Ovis aries: one gene and its partners. The protein of the gene in region 2 purifies or fractionates together with the protein of the main gene of each other region. This does not show direct contact. Links are inferred from orthologs where the notes say so. Each region holds a gene or a part of one and is shown on either strand. Other genes may lie near its edges.

What was found.
Region 1: the proteins of DDX39B (region 2) and SRRT purify together in Homo sapiens (affinity purification with mass spectrometry; 3 studies listed by BioGRID and IntAct, with this or other methods). This does not show direct contact. The link is inferred for Ovis aries from reciprocal best matches to the Homo sapiens genes DDX39B and SRRT.
Region 3: the proteins of DDX39B (region 2) and MYO1B purify together in Homo sapiens (affinity purification with mass spectrometry, with the first as the bait; 3 studies listed by BioGRID). This does not show direct contact. The link is inferred for Ovis aries from reciprocal best matches to the Homo sapiens genes DDX39B and MYO1B.

What each region holds. Positions count from the first base shown.
Region 1 is NC_056077.1:36,206,577-36,210,223, forward strand, and holds part of SRRT (serrate RNA effector molecule homolog), read right to left. Parts: exon of another isoform or gene 3,496-3,647; coding exon 3,349-3,495; intron 3,099-3,348; coding exon 2,910-3,098; intron 1,090-2,909; coding exon 920-1,089; intron 794-919; coding exon 609-793; intron 422-608; coding exon 323-421; intron 244-322; coding exon 126-243; intron 1-125. UniProt on the Homo sapiens protein: Acts as a mediator between the cap-binding complex (CBC) and the primary microRNAs (miRNAs) processing machinery during cell proliferation.
Region 2 is NC_056073.1:26,828,416-26,832,162, reverse strand, and holds the start of DDX39B (spliceosome RNA helicase DDX39B), read right to left. Parts: upstream 2,271-3,747; 5' UTR 2,044-2,270; exon of another isoform or gene 1,381-2,043; intron 1,018-1,380; 5' UTR 888-1,017; coding exon 677-887; intron 1-676. UniProt on the Homo sapiens protein: Involved in nuclear export of spliced and unspliced mRNA. Component of the TREX complex which is thought to couple mRNA transcription, processing and nuclear export, and specifically associates with spliced mRNA and not with unspliced pre-mRNA.
Region 3 is NC_056055.1:193,653,108-193,656,754, reverse strand, and holds part of MYO1B (unconventional myosin-Ib), read right to left. Parts: intron 1,942-3,647; coding exon 1,741-1,941; intron 394-1,740; coding exon 167-393; intron 1-166. UniProt on the Homo sapiens protein: Motor protein that may participate in process critical to neuronal development and function such as cell migration, neurite outgrowth and vesicular transport.

The DNA of each region.
Region 1 (3,647 bases), on a different chromosome or scaffold from region 2:
CTCCCCCAACCAGTCTCTCCCAAAAGGGCCCCCTCCTTATTAATTTCACCCGCCTCTTGCCTCCACACCAGCCCCCTCACCCTCCCCAGCACCGTCAATAGGAAGAGACTGAAAATAAAACCTACCAGCCTCTTCCTTCTCCTCCTCGGCCTGGCCACTCTCAGACTCTGACTCCGACTCGGACACACTGCCTTCATCAAAGCTGTCATCGCCACTGTGCTTCCTATTCCGCTTCTTACTGCTCTGTGAGACCCATAGCAAGGGGGGGAGTCAGGTACCAGGACCCAGCCCGGGCTGTGACCTTATCCAAGCGAGAACCTACCTTTTTGGCTTCTTTCTCAGAGTCTTCCTTTTTCTCTTCTTTGTCTCCATCACCTTCAGATTTCTTAGTTTTGTCATCACTGGAACTGTCATTTTCAGCCTATAGGTAGAAACAAATCACCAGGAACATCATTCTCTCCTTCAGCCTTTTTCAGAGGGCCCTGCCCAGCCTCTAGCAGCTCAGTCCAAGTTTGCCTCTCGCCCACCCAATACCCAACCCCCTAAAGCGGCTCCATTTCCCACGCCCCAGGCCTCACAGACAGCACCAGAAGCCCCAGCACTGAGACCTGTTTGCCGTCTTCTTTCTTGTCATCCTTTTCATTGGCCTTGCGCTCTCCATCACCCAGGCCTGGTCCGACCCGGCCTTCCTCTTTCTTGCTGGGCTCCCCAGGCTTTCCTGCCTGCTCCTCCTCCTCCTCCTGCTCCAGGATCCGCAGATCATTCTCTGTGCCTCCTTCCATCTTAATCACAGCTACCAACACAGGGAACAGAGGTCTCAATCCAAGGGTCTTGGCCTTCTGCCTCTGGCTTGCTATCAGTTTTCACCTTCAGCCAGGACCCTGGTCAGCAGACGAGCCCACCCTCCCAGCCCACACACCTGCATCGAGCATCTTGACAATGGCATCAGCTCTGTCTATGTCCAGCAGCAGATTATCAAACCAGCCACCCTCCATGAGAGACAGGAACACCCTTAGTCGGTTTTGCAGGGCCCCTCGGGCCTCCTGCCGACGCTTCCCCACCTCATCTGGGTGGTACTTAGACCGAAACCTGAGGAGGAAGGGGGAAGGGAAGAGCCAAACAGTCATTGGAGGCCAGAGCCAGGACATGGGGAGGGGCCCGGGAAAGTCAGGGCACAGCCCCCATCCTCTCACACCCACAGAAGGTCATGACAGCGGAGGTCAGGGGAAGGGGTGCACCTGAACCACCCACCCCCCGAAAGGAACAGAGGCTATGCTCTGAGAAGACCTGGGGGCGAGCCAGGAACTAAGCTCTAGATTTGCAAAGAGTATGACTACAGGGGGAGTCAGGGCTGGAGGCAGAATGACGCCCGAAGTGTCTGGGAAACACAAATTTTAAGGAATATAGTTTCCCACAGCTTCCCAGACTAACACTAAAGAAACAGCAGATCCCAAAGAACCTCCCTCTCCTTGCCAACCCAACTAGAATCATTAAAAGGATTGCTCCCACCAGCTCCCTCCATCCCTTGGTGGAAGACAGGAAAACCTGAAATCACCAGAAAGGAAAAGCCACAAAAGGCAGGACACCTTTCTCCCCTCTAGGGAAGATAAGCAGCTGGTGAAGGGACAGGGAAAGACCAAAGGGAGAAACTGAAGTGCCCTTATAACCTCAGGTACTGCCCACAGGGGTCAAGAGAGGACAGGGGTGGAGGGTTAGGTTAGAGCATGAAAAAGAAACACTTAGAATAGGACCCTGGGCAGGAGGGGGCGGGGAGGACAGAAGAATTAGGATATGCAAAGAAGGGCAAAGTTTGAGAAAGTCCCAGAATAAAAACGAGGAAAACTATAAAGACCAAATGAAAACTAGGAAAAAACAAAAACCCAGTGGAAAGAAGTGTTAGACAGGAGCAAGAATGGGGACAGAGAGAGAATGACAGGTTTATGAGCGAGTAAGACAAAGACAGGGGTTAGGAAGAAAGAGGAGACAGTGACAGAACAGAACCACAAGCTGAGCAGAAGAGGAAGGGAGAGCCGCAGGCGTCACCTCCAGGATCTTTACCTTGGCCGCTTGGTCAAACAGAGCTCAAGATTTAACTAGCCGCGCCCAGGGCCCATGCTGGCTGGTGGGCCACGGCTGGCTCCTGGCTGGGGCGCCCGGCCCGGGTGCCCCACCCCCGCGGGACTCCGCGGTGGGGGCCCTGACTGACTAGCTGCCTGAGCAATCACATTCAGCTAAACCGCTGCATTGTGCACAACGGTGCCCTGCCTGTCTGCCTGGCCCGGGCAGCGCGGTCAGCCCAGGGGGCTCATGTATGGGCTGGGTATGGTGGGGGTGGAGGTGGGTTTGCTCCGAGCTCCGTCGATGAGCGGGTGTAGTTCCCAGTTCTGGCTCTTTTCAAGGAGGAGGAGCAGAAAGAGGATGAGGAGGAGGAGGAGCAGGAAGGGGGGAAAAGATGGTTGATTAAAATTAAAACATCCACAAAAGGAAAAAAATCAAAATTCTTTTTCTGTCAAACGATCCTGAGAGCTTTGCTTTTCTTGTCTGGATTCACTCGTTGCTTTTGGGAGGACACCACCACCACACAGGGTCCCGGCGATCAGGGATGGCGGTGACCCCGAACGGCAAGGGGGAGGCGGTGCGTCTGCCGCCTCAGAGGAACAGGTGGCTCTGGCCAGCTGCCTGGAGGTGGCTCACTCACCGAGGACGGCGGGGAAGGGAGATGGGGGGGGGGGGGCCGTGGCGGACGTGGAGGTGAGGAGACCCATCAGCCAGGGCTGGCACACTCCCCTCCCCCGCCCCCAGAAGTGCTGGACTGGGTGAGCTGGGGAGAGCACAGGGCTGCAGGCTCCACTGGCGGGGCCAGGGGAAACATGCCAGGGAAAGGACGGCAGGTGAGGAGGGGCACTCACCACTCCTCATCCTTGTGAGCCAGGAAGAAGTCCTGCATCTGCTGCCTCCGGAAGTCCAGCTTGTAGTCGTTGTAGCGCTTGACCGCCTCGGTCTCATCCACAGCATCATCCAGGGACAGGAGGAACTCCTTGAAGGTCTTCATAACAGGGGGCGGCACGCCCAAGTCGATCTCTGCTATGCTGCCCAGCCTAGGGGGGCAGGGGGACGCACCAGTCAGGAAGTCTTGGATGTGGGGGAAGAGGGTGGGGAAATCGGGGGGCCAAGGCAGCCAGCTGCCCTCTCCCTTTGCCCACCAAGACCATCGCCCAAGGCACCAACGGCTGCCACCACCCACTGGTGCCCTTGCATGCCCAACCCAATTCTCCTGGCCTCAGCCACCCCAATTCATCCCCAAATGTGGACCCCCTTCTCCCGGCCCCCCGGAAGCGCAGGTCTCACCTGGCCTGGATAGGCAGAACAGGGTGCTGCACGATGTGGACGTCTGGGTGGCCCCAGGGCTGAGGGGGGCCATAAGCTGGGCCCCCACCCCCCCCAGCATAGGGCATCTCATAGCCACTGTGGTATGGGTCAGAGCTGTGCTCATCCCTGAGGGTGGGGGACACAAAAGTCAGACGGAGAAGGCAAGCAGCTCTCCAGAGGACAGAGGATGGGACCGAGGGGGGGTGCACGTGGACTGCGGTCTCTCCCACAAGGGCTTAAAGGGACCAAAAGAGATGACTTGAGGGGAAGTCTGAGCA
Region 2 (3,747 bases):
TCTGTAACAATCCATGACTTTTGAGGGCCTGTCACAGGCTACTTCTCCTACTTAGATTGTCATGCTTTGGGTGACATAACTCTGCAACCTTGGGCAAAATGAAGAACCCGGTGAAAGTGAAGTTGCTCAGTCATCTCTCCGACTGTGACCCCGTGGACTATAGACTGCCAGGCTCCTCCGTTCATGGGATCTTCCAGGCAAGAGTACTGGAGTGGGTCGCTACTTCCTTCTCCAGGGGATTTTCCCGACTCAGGGATTGAACCCAGTCTCCCAAATTGCAGGCAGACGCTTTACCGTCTGAGCCACCAGGGAAGAACTTAGTACTTGACCCAAAAGACAGCTATCTTTAGACCAGCCATAAAGGTTTACAGAGACCAGAGGTGATTTGATCCAAGGGTCCAACCAGCTCCTCTTTGGAAATTTTAAATTAAAAGACAAAATTTAAAACAAGGAGACAAGGAGAAAAGCCACTCTAAGTTGCTTTGAAGTCACTAGCACTTACATACTATCATGAACAAAGACAAACCTATATAAACATCTTCTACTGCTGAAATAGGTTCTGGTACTTATTTCCTGATCTATCCTATATATAAAACTGTAAGGGACCATGGCTATTATCTGTTTTCTTGTATCCTTAAAGCACCAATGAGTACTCCATGCCCAACAGGAAATTTACCTTCTGATGGATGCTCAAAGCCACAGTCAACAATGGCCCGGAGCAACTCTGGCTTGAGCAGGAAGTCACGAAAGCCAGAGCTGTGGATGGAGACATAGGAGCCCTTGACATCCTTCTTGGCAGGGGCCTCAGCCCCATCTCCCCCAGCTGCCGTCTCCACCTCATCATCTTCATAATCCAAGAGCTCATTGTCCACATCGTTCTCCGCCATAACTGGGCCGGCAGGAAAAGGGGAAGGGTCTCCGGATGGGTTAGCGCAGAATAAAGGAAGACAAGAGGAGGAGAGTGGGGGCTTGAGGAACAGAAGAGGAAAAGAAACACACTAGTTTCTGACAGAAGAGCTGGGAGGGGGGAAAAACAGGGAGAAGACATCAGTCATGAGTAGAGCCTTCACCATCTATCCCGTCCATCCCCACACTCTTCCTTTCCCCAAACCGACACATGTACCTGGAAACAAAAGTAACAAAGGGGGAAAAAAAGTAACAAAAAAACACAAGACAAAGAAACAAAAGGTAAACATAACACACGGAATGGGAAAAGTGTGTTTCCCAGGAGTGACGATTAGGACATAGGTTCCCAAAAAGATAGGATCGGAGAAGCAGAAACCGGAAAGCTAGGAAGGCCAGGCCAGCTTCTCAATTCCTGCTCCAGGACAGCAGTAAGGATAAAAATTAAAGACACATAAAAAACAGACTGCTACTAACAATTTACAAGACTGGAGAATGTTAAGTGACAAAATGAAAAATCCTCAACGAAAGACCTTGTGCTTTCCCGATAATCTCAAGGTGTGGACAGCAGCCATCAGTCAAGGGTGATAGATTTACGGTCGTCATTGAGCAAAGCGCTCACTTTTCAAAATGGAAACATCATATGGCTGCCATCCACCTCTCCCAACACTCCAGTCTCCCACTCCTCAGACACCTCACACTCGCGCGTAAAAAATCCTTCGGCGGTGGTGGCGGAGGAGGGTGGGGGCTAAAGAATGTCTCGGCCAGAAGAAAAAAACCCACTCCTCCATCACTCCTTAGGTATGGCTCGTTTCCGAAAAACACACAATGACACCACTCGTAAACATTTAGGAAATGCTCCAAATAACGGTGGGCAAACCGGGCCGAGAAACGTCCAGGTAGGCCTAGAAGCCGGCTCCTCTTCCTATTCCCGCCGCGGACCGAGGACCCAGAAATAAGCGGGAAAGTGAGAAGACCCCGCCCTCCGCAAATACCCAGGACCAGAGGACGCCTGGCGCCGCCTCTCAATGTCACTGGGGCCTCGAGTAATCGAGGGGGGCCACCGAAGGAGCGAGAAGCAAAGAAAACACAATGGCGCCGGGGCCACCATCTTGGATTGGGCCCCCCTAGCTTCCCTACCTCCCCCCCAAAGTTTCTTCATCTCGAAAAAGATGCAAGCGATGGAACTAACGACCCAATCAGACTCCAACAACCAGATCATGGCCTGTGCAAGGGCTATCAGGAGCTCGTGCGACAGGATGGCCGCAGAGAAACGCAGATGGAGGCGGATGGTGCCGAAGGCCCAAAGCTTACCTGAGCAAGGCAAAGACGTATGGCGGCGGCAACAGCGACGAAGAAGGGAATCTGCCTTCACTTCCGGTTCCCGGTTTTCCCTCCACCCGGCCTCCCGCCTTCGCTGATGCGAGCGCGCAGGCGCAAAGAACCGGAAGACGGGCCTTCTACGGTTGTGTAGTTCTGCTCGTTCTAGGGTTGCCTTTAGAAAATGCCTGCGTGAAAAAAAAATTTTTAAGCCACTTCTTACCCTTTTGCTACTACCAGTAACAAAATGCATCAAGGAAACTATAATCCTTCCCATTGTTATCTTTTTTCCGCGTGTCCAGTTCTTTTCCGCGCCTCTCTCTTCATTTAGATTCTTGCCATTCAGGTCTTCTCTCTGGGCATCCCTCCTCTGGGCGCAGGAGGACCCAAGCTGGCGGGACTTCGATTTCCCACGGGGTCCTTGGCCCGGTAGTCAAGGTGACCTGGGGGCGCTGGCGCTGGAGTTAGGGAATGGCCAGCCCCAGGTGTAGATAGTGAATAGGTCTCACGGAACCTACCCCCTACCTTTTCCCCAGCCTTGGAACGGCATTTACCCAAAGTAATGGTTGGCTGATGTATCTGATGTCCTAAGGGCCGTGGGCTTGGGCTGTAAGTTAGGAAGGTGTTCTGAAGCCACTGCTTGCAGGACTGGGGGTCTAGATTCTGCCCCAAGTGTTAACGATAAATACTAGGGCATGAGGGTTACATGGTGGTGGGTTAGTCGCTAAGTCGTGTCAGACCCACCAGACTCCTCTGTCGATGGGATTCTCCAGGAAAGACTACTGGAGTGGGTTGTCATGCCCTCTTCCAGGGGATCTTCTCCACCCTGGGGTTGAACTCAGGTCTCCTGCATTGCAGGCTGGTTCTTTACCTACTGAGCCACCAGGGAAACCTGAGTGTTACGTAACATTTTAATAAATGTTATTTCAACCAGAATGTGCTTAACCCTTTACCCAATAACCCCTCCCTTGGTTCATCCTGGATATTTTTCCTGAATGAAACATTTGATATCTCCCGCCTCACTTTTATATGCTACAGAAGTCAAATGTGACTTAACAAAACTGATAACAAACGTTTGACCTTTTACCTATTATCACTTAACCATTTAACACCAAGGTGTACCATTATTCCCATTCTATATCAAGCAAACAGATTCAAAGAAATAAACATGTCCAAAGTAATACAGCTAGCAAGGTGACAGAGCCAGAATGGAGACACCACTTTATTCTCTACTGTATCCTGTCTCCCTGATTAAAGAGTGCTTAATAAATACCCTATAGATAACCTCACTGGTTCAAGGCTCGTTTTCTGTGGCCAAAAGAAATAACAGTGATTCAAGGATGATGTTACAGAAGGGCAGTTTTTCCAACACACAATATCTTTTTTTCAATAGCATTTATCAACTGCCAGTCCTGCGTCAAGTGCTAGCCTAAGATCTGGGTACATAGCAATGAACAGCCCTATCATCACAGAGTTCATTTAACAGGGGAGACATGTCAAGTACGGATAAATGCTATGAAGAAA
Region 3 (3,647 bases), on a different chromosome or scaffold from region 2:
TAGAGTATTTTTCAAGCACACCCAAGACACCATATGATTCGAACTGTAAGTACTTTAGTTACTCCTCTGCTTGGGCCACACTCAGATTTAAGCACACAGGAAAATGATCTTCCTAGTGAATGCCTTCATAGTTGAATGGCCAAAGAATTTTATGTGCCAGAAATACCTAATGTAGTTTGGATTCTTGGTCTGTAGATTTTTCATCAGAGTGGCTACGGATGCTTTGAACTGTGAGCCGGCTGTAGGAGGCCTTTTCAGGTTGATCTTGGCAGGGTTTCCTTCGGGAAACAAAGATTTGATGAGGGCGTGTCCGGCCTTCCACATGGCTTGGGACAGGTCCCGATAGAGAAGGTCATTGTTCTTGTCCACAAATCCTTCCACTTGGTACAGCACCTATGAGCAGCACATGGGACTCAGTAGCTGATACACTGCACACCAGAACATCAAACAGCTGTTAAAAATATCCTGAGACTATCTATACTGCAGCCTCTTCTTTCTCCATCAAAAAACCCTCAACACGTTAGTCACACTCTAATACCAAATTAGCCTCCAAGTTTAAATTCCATCTGTCTAAATCACAGAGGAGTTCAAAATAAATTCTATTACCCTTCAGGATTTGCAAGAATAAACTTCAAAAATGTTATCATAACATTTTCAAAGGATTTTAGGGATTTTTTTGGTATTCAATCATATTTTTGAGGTTTTACTTATATTTTTTAGTTTACATGTGCCAATTCGAGTATGTTTAAAAGGAGACAGGGGAAAACACAGATAACACTGATATTTTTATAGACATCCTACACTGGCAGGGAAATTGACCAGAAAAGTATTTTTTAATAACATGGGCTAGTAAAAAAAAAAGTGAAGTAACAAGTTCCAACATTTTGAAATTAAAGGTAATTTAGATACAATATACTTCATATTTGGGATTCCCTGGTGGCTCACTGGTAGAGAATCTGCCTGCCAATGCAGGAGACTCTAGTTCAAGCCCTGGGTCAGGAAGATCTCCTGGAGAAAGAAATGGCAACCCACTCCAGTATTCTTGCCTGGAAAATTCCATGGACAGAGGAGGCTGGTGGGCTACAATCCATGAGGTCACGAAAGAGTCAGACCATGACTTAGTAACTAAACAACAACAAAACAACTTCGTACAAAATACAAAATCAGATTTTGTTTCCCCTTTGATGTCTGCAAGCTTATTTATAATTACTGTAGGGACTTCCCTAGCAGTCTAATGGTTAAGACTCTGCCTTCCGATGCTGGGGGTGTGGGTTAGTTCCCCTGTTAGGGAGCTATGCCTTGCAGCCAAAACCCCAGAACATGAAGCAGAAGCAGTACTATAAAATGGTCCACATCAAAAAAATAAATAAAATTTAAAAAATTAAAACCTTACTGTATGTCTTTAGTGACTGCTCATTTTTACTGGCAAATTTTTTATACGTGTCAAATAGATCTTTTTTATAGGCTAGCTCTGAGCCTGAAAATAATAAAATTTATTTTTTAATATATACTTGAACTCTTTGATTAGGTCCTCTGGCTTTCCTTCAGATCTCAGTACTAGTAAGATTTTTCTCAGTATGGTCCAGATTCTATGCCCACGGAACATTCATGGATTCCATGCCCCCTCAGCAACTCCATTTATCCTCCAGAGCTGATGCTGGTCAGAATGCCATCTCTGAGGCAAGGTGTCTGCTCTCCAGGGAGTAACTGTGACCTCCCTGGGGTCCCGGGCTCCCACACCTTGCCAGCATAGTGCTGGATCCTGAAGCAGCTGTGAGGAAGGGAAGTGTCATTGAGGAACCGGGAGCACTTGCTCATCCTGCTCTCAAAATGCTGGTGGGTAGCGCAGACTTGGTTCAGCTTTTCCAAGAAGGTCTCATCCGTGACCGTGCCCGGCCTAAGGCACTCTTCATCCAGCATGGCCAGGATCCCGTTTGTGTTCTAGGAGAAAGGAAATAAAAAGGTTTCCTTCCTTCCTCACTGTATTGTTTTCATAATTATTCCTAATTATGCTGTTAAACACAATCAACTTAGTCACAAGAAAAATTCTGTTTTGTTACAACAAAAAGTGGAGAATCAAAACAAATAACAAAGAAAAACACAGGAATCAACCCCTTCCAGGGTGTCCCAGGTGTGCTGGAGGAGGGGGCAGGAGTGTCTTAATGAGGCTCCCCCCACTTACCCCGTCCATGGTGCCTCCCCCACAGAACAGGACGTAGGAGTCACCTCAGCCACCTCAGCAGGCTGATGACTGAAACTTATGTACTTTAGAAAAAGGCAACTTATACCGCAAAGACCAAAAAACAAATCTGAAAGTCAGGAACTAGTGTGACACTACTATCTGTATAACATGCAGTCATAAATCATAGAGCACTGTCTTCTAAGGCCATTATTTAATTCGTAGCTTGAGAAGGAAATTGGTTTCAGATGTTTCCAAATTGCTCACGTGTTCAAAATAGTTTATTTTCTCTGGGAAAAAAAGTGATGTGATTGGGATGCTGTTTTTAATGATCAATGCAATCAAGCTATATTTTAAGAATCATCTGTTTAGAATAAAATTCTCCTTTCATATTAAATTTCGAAATGGATGTTAAACATGAGCTGAGAATTTGCTTGCTGAGTATTCAGACCCTGTGATCATATTTATCCCAAGAGCTGTCAGCCCAACTAAACCCAATAAAAAATCAGGAAACTTCTACTTTGCTAAATAAAGGCTGTTGTTCCTTCGATTGCCCCTACGGGCCCACACATCTCCATTCCACGGAGAACAATCTGACCATCAGCCCCACCCACTTCCACTAGGGCAAAGTCTCATGGTTCTCCTTTTCTCTTTACAAGGCCGTGACATCCTCTGACCAGCACTTAAACATTCCACACACAAAATCTGTGGGAAGTGTGGACTCTCAGGAATCAAATGTGTTCATAACATCCCCAGAATAAACATTATTGTTAGCTGTTGCTGAAAGGAAACATTTCCTTTATGTATCCAGGCTCCTACGAGGACATGAGTTTCTTTAATCACATATGCAAGGGGATTTGGGGCTGAGATAATTTAGCTATATTAGGTGTATTACCATTGTTCCTTTTTTACCCCCCTCCCTTCTGAAGGGAAACAATTAAGTGCAATGTTATATTTATGAAGAAAAAAGTATTAGTCACAACTTCTGAAAGTTAAAATTCCCTCAGCAAATTTCTTCGGTCACAAAACTTACCAGAAAAACTTTTCAGGAAATCGATTGATTTTCTAAATTTTAGGCTACAGTTTTAAATTGCTTAGGCGGAATAGCACTGTTCACAATCCAAAACTGTCCAAATTTTTCAAAACAAGGTTTACTTTTTAATTGAAAAATAATAATGGCTCAGAATCTTTTTTTAATTCAATAATCAGAGGTGCAGCTTTCAAGAATATTGTTAATACTGAAGGAAAAGATACTGGCGAACTATATAATATTCAAAAACATCTTGTTAAAGATGAATAGCAAACGACTTATTGGACATTTAGAGCCTGTGATTCTATTGCTGAAACACAGCACTCATCTATGATGACAGCTAAATTTATGCACTGCTTCCGATTACTTTGTTATCAAGGTCAGGATCCTAAGCTTTTACACACCTTCCCGCAATCAATTCATTCACAATAAACTACA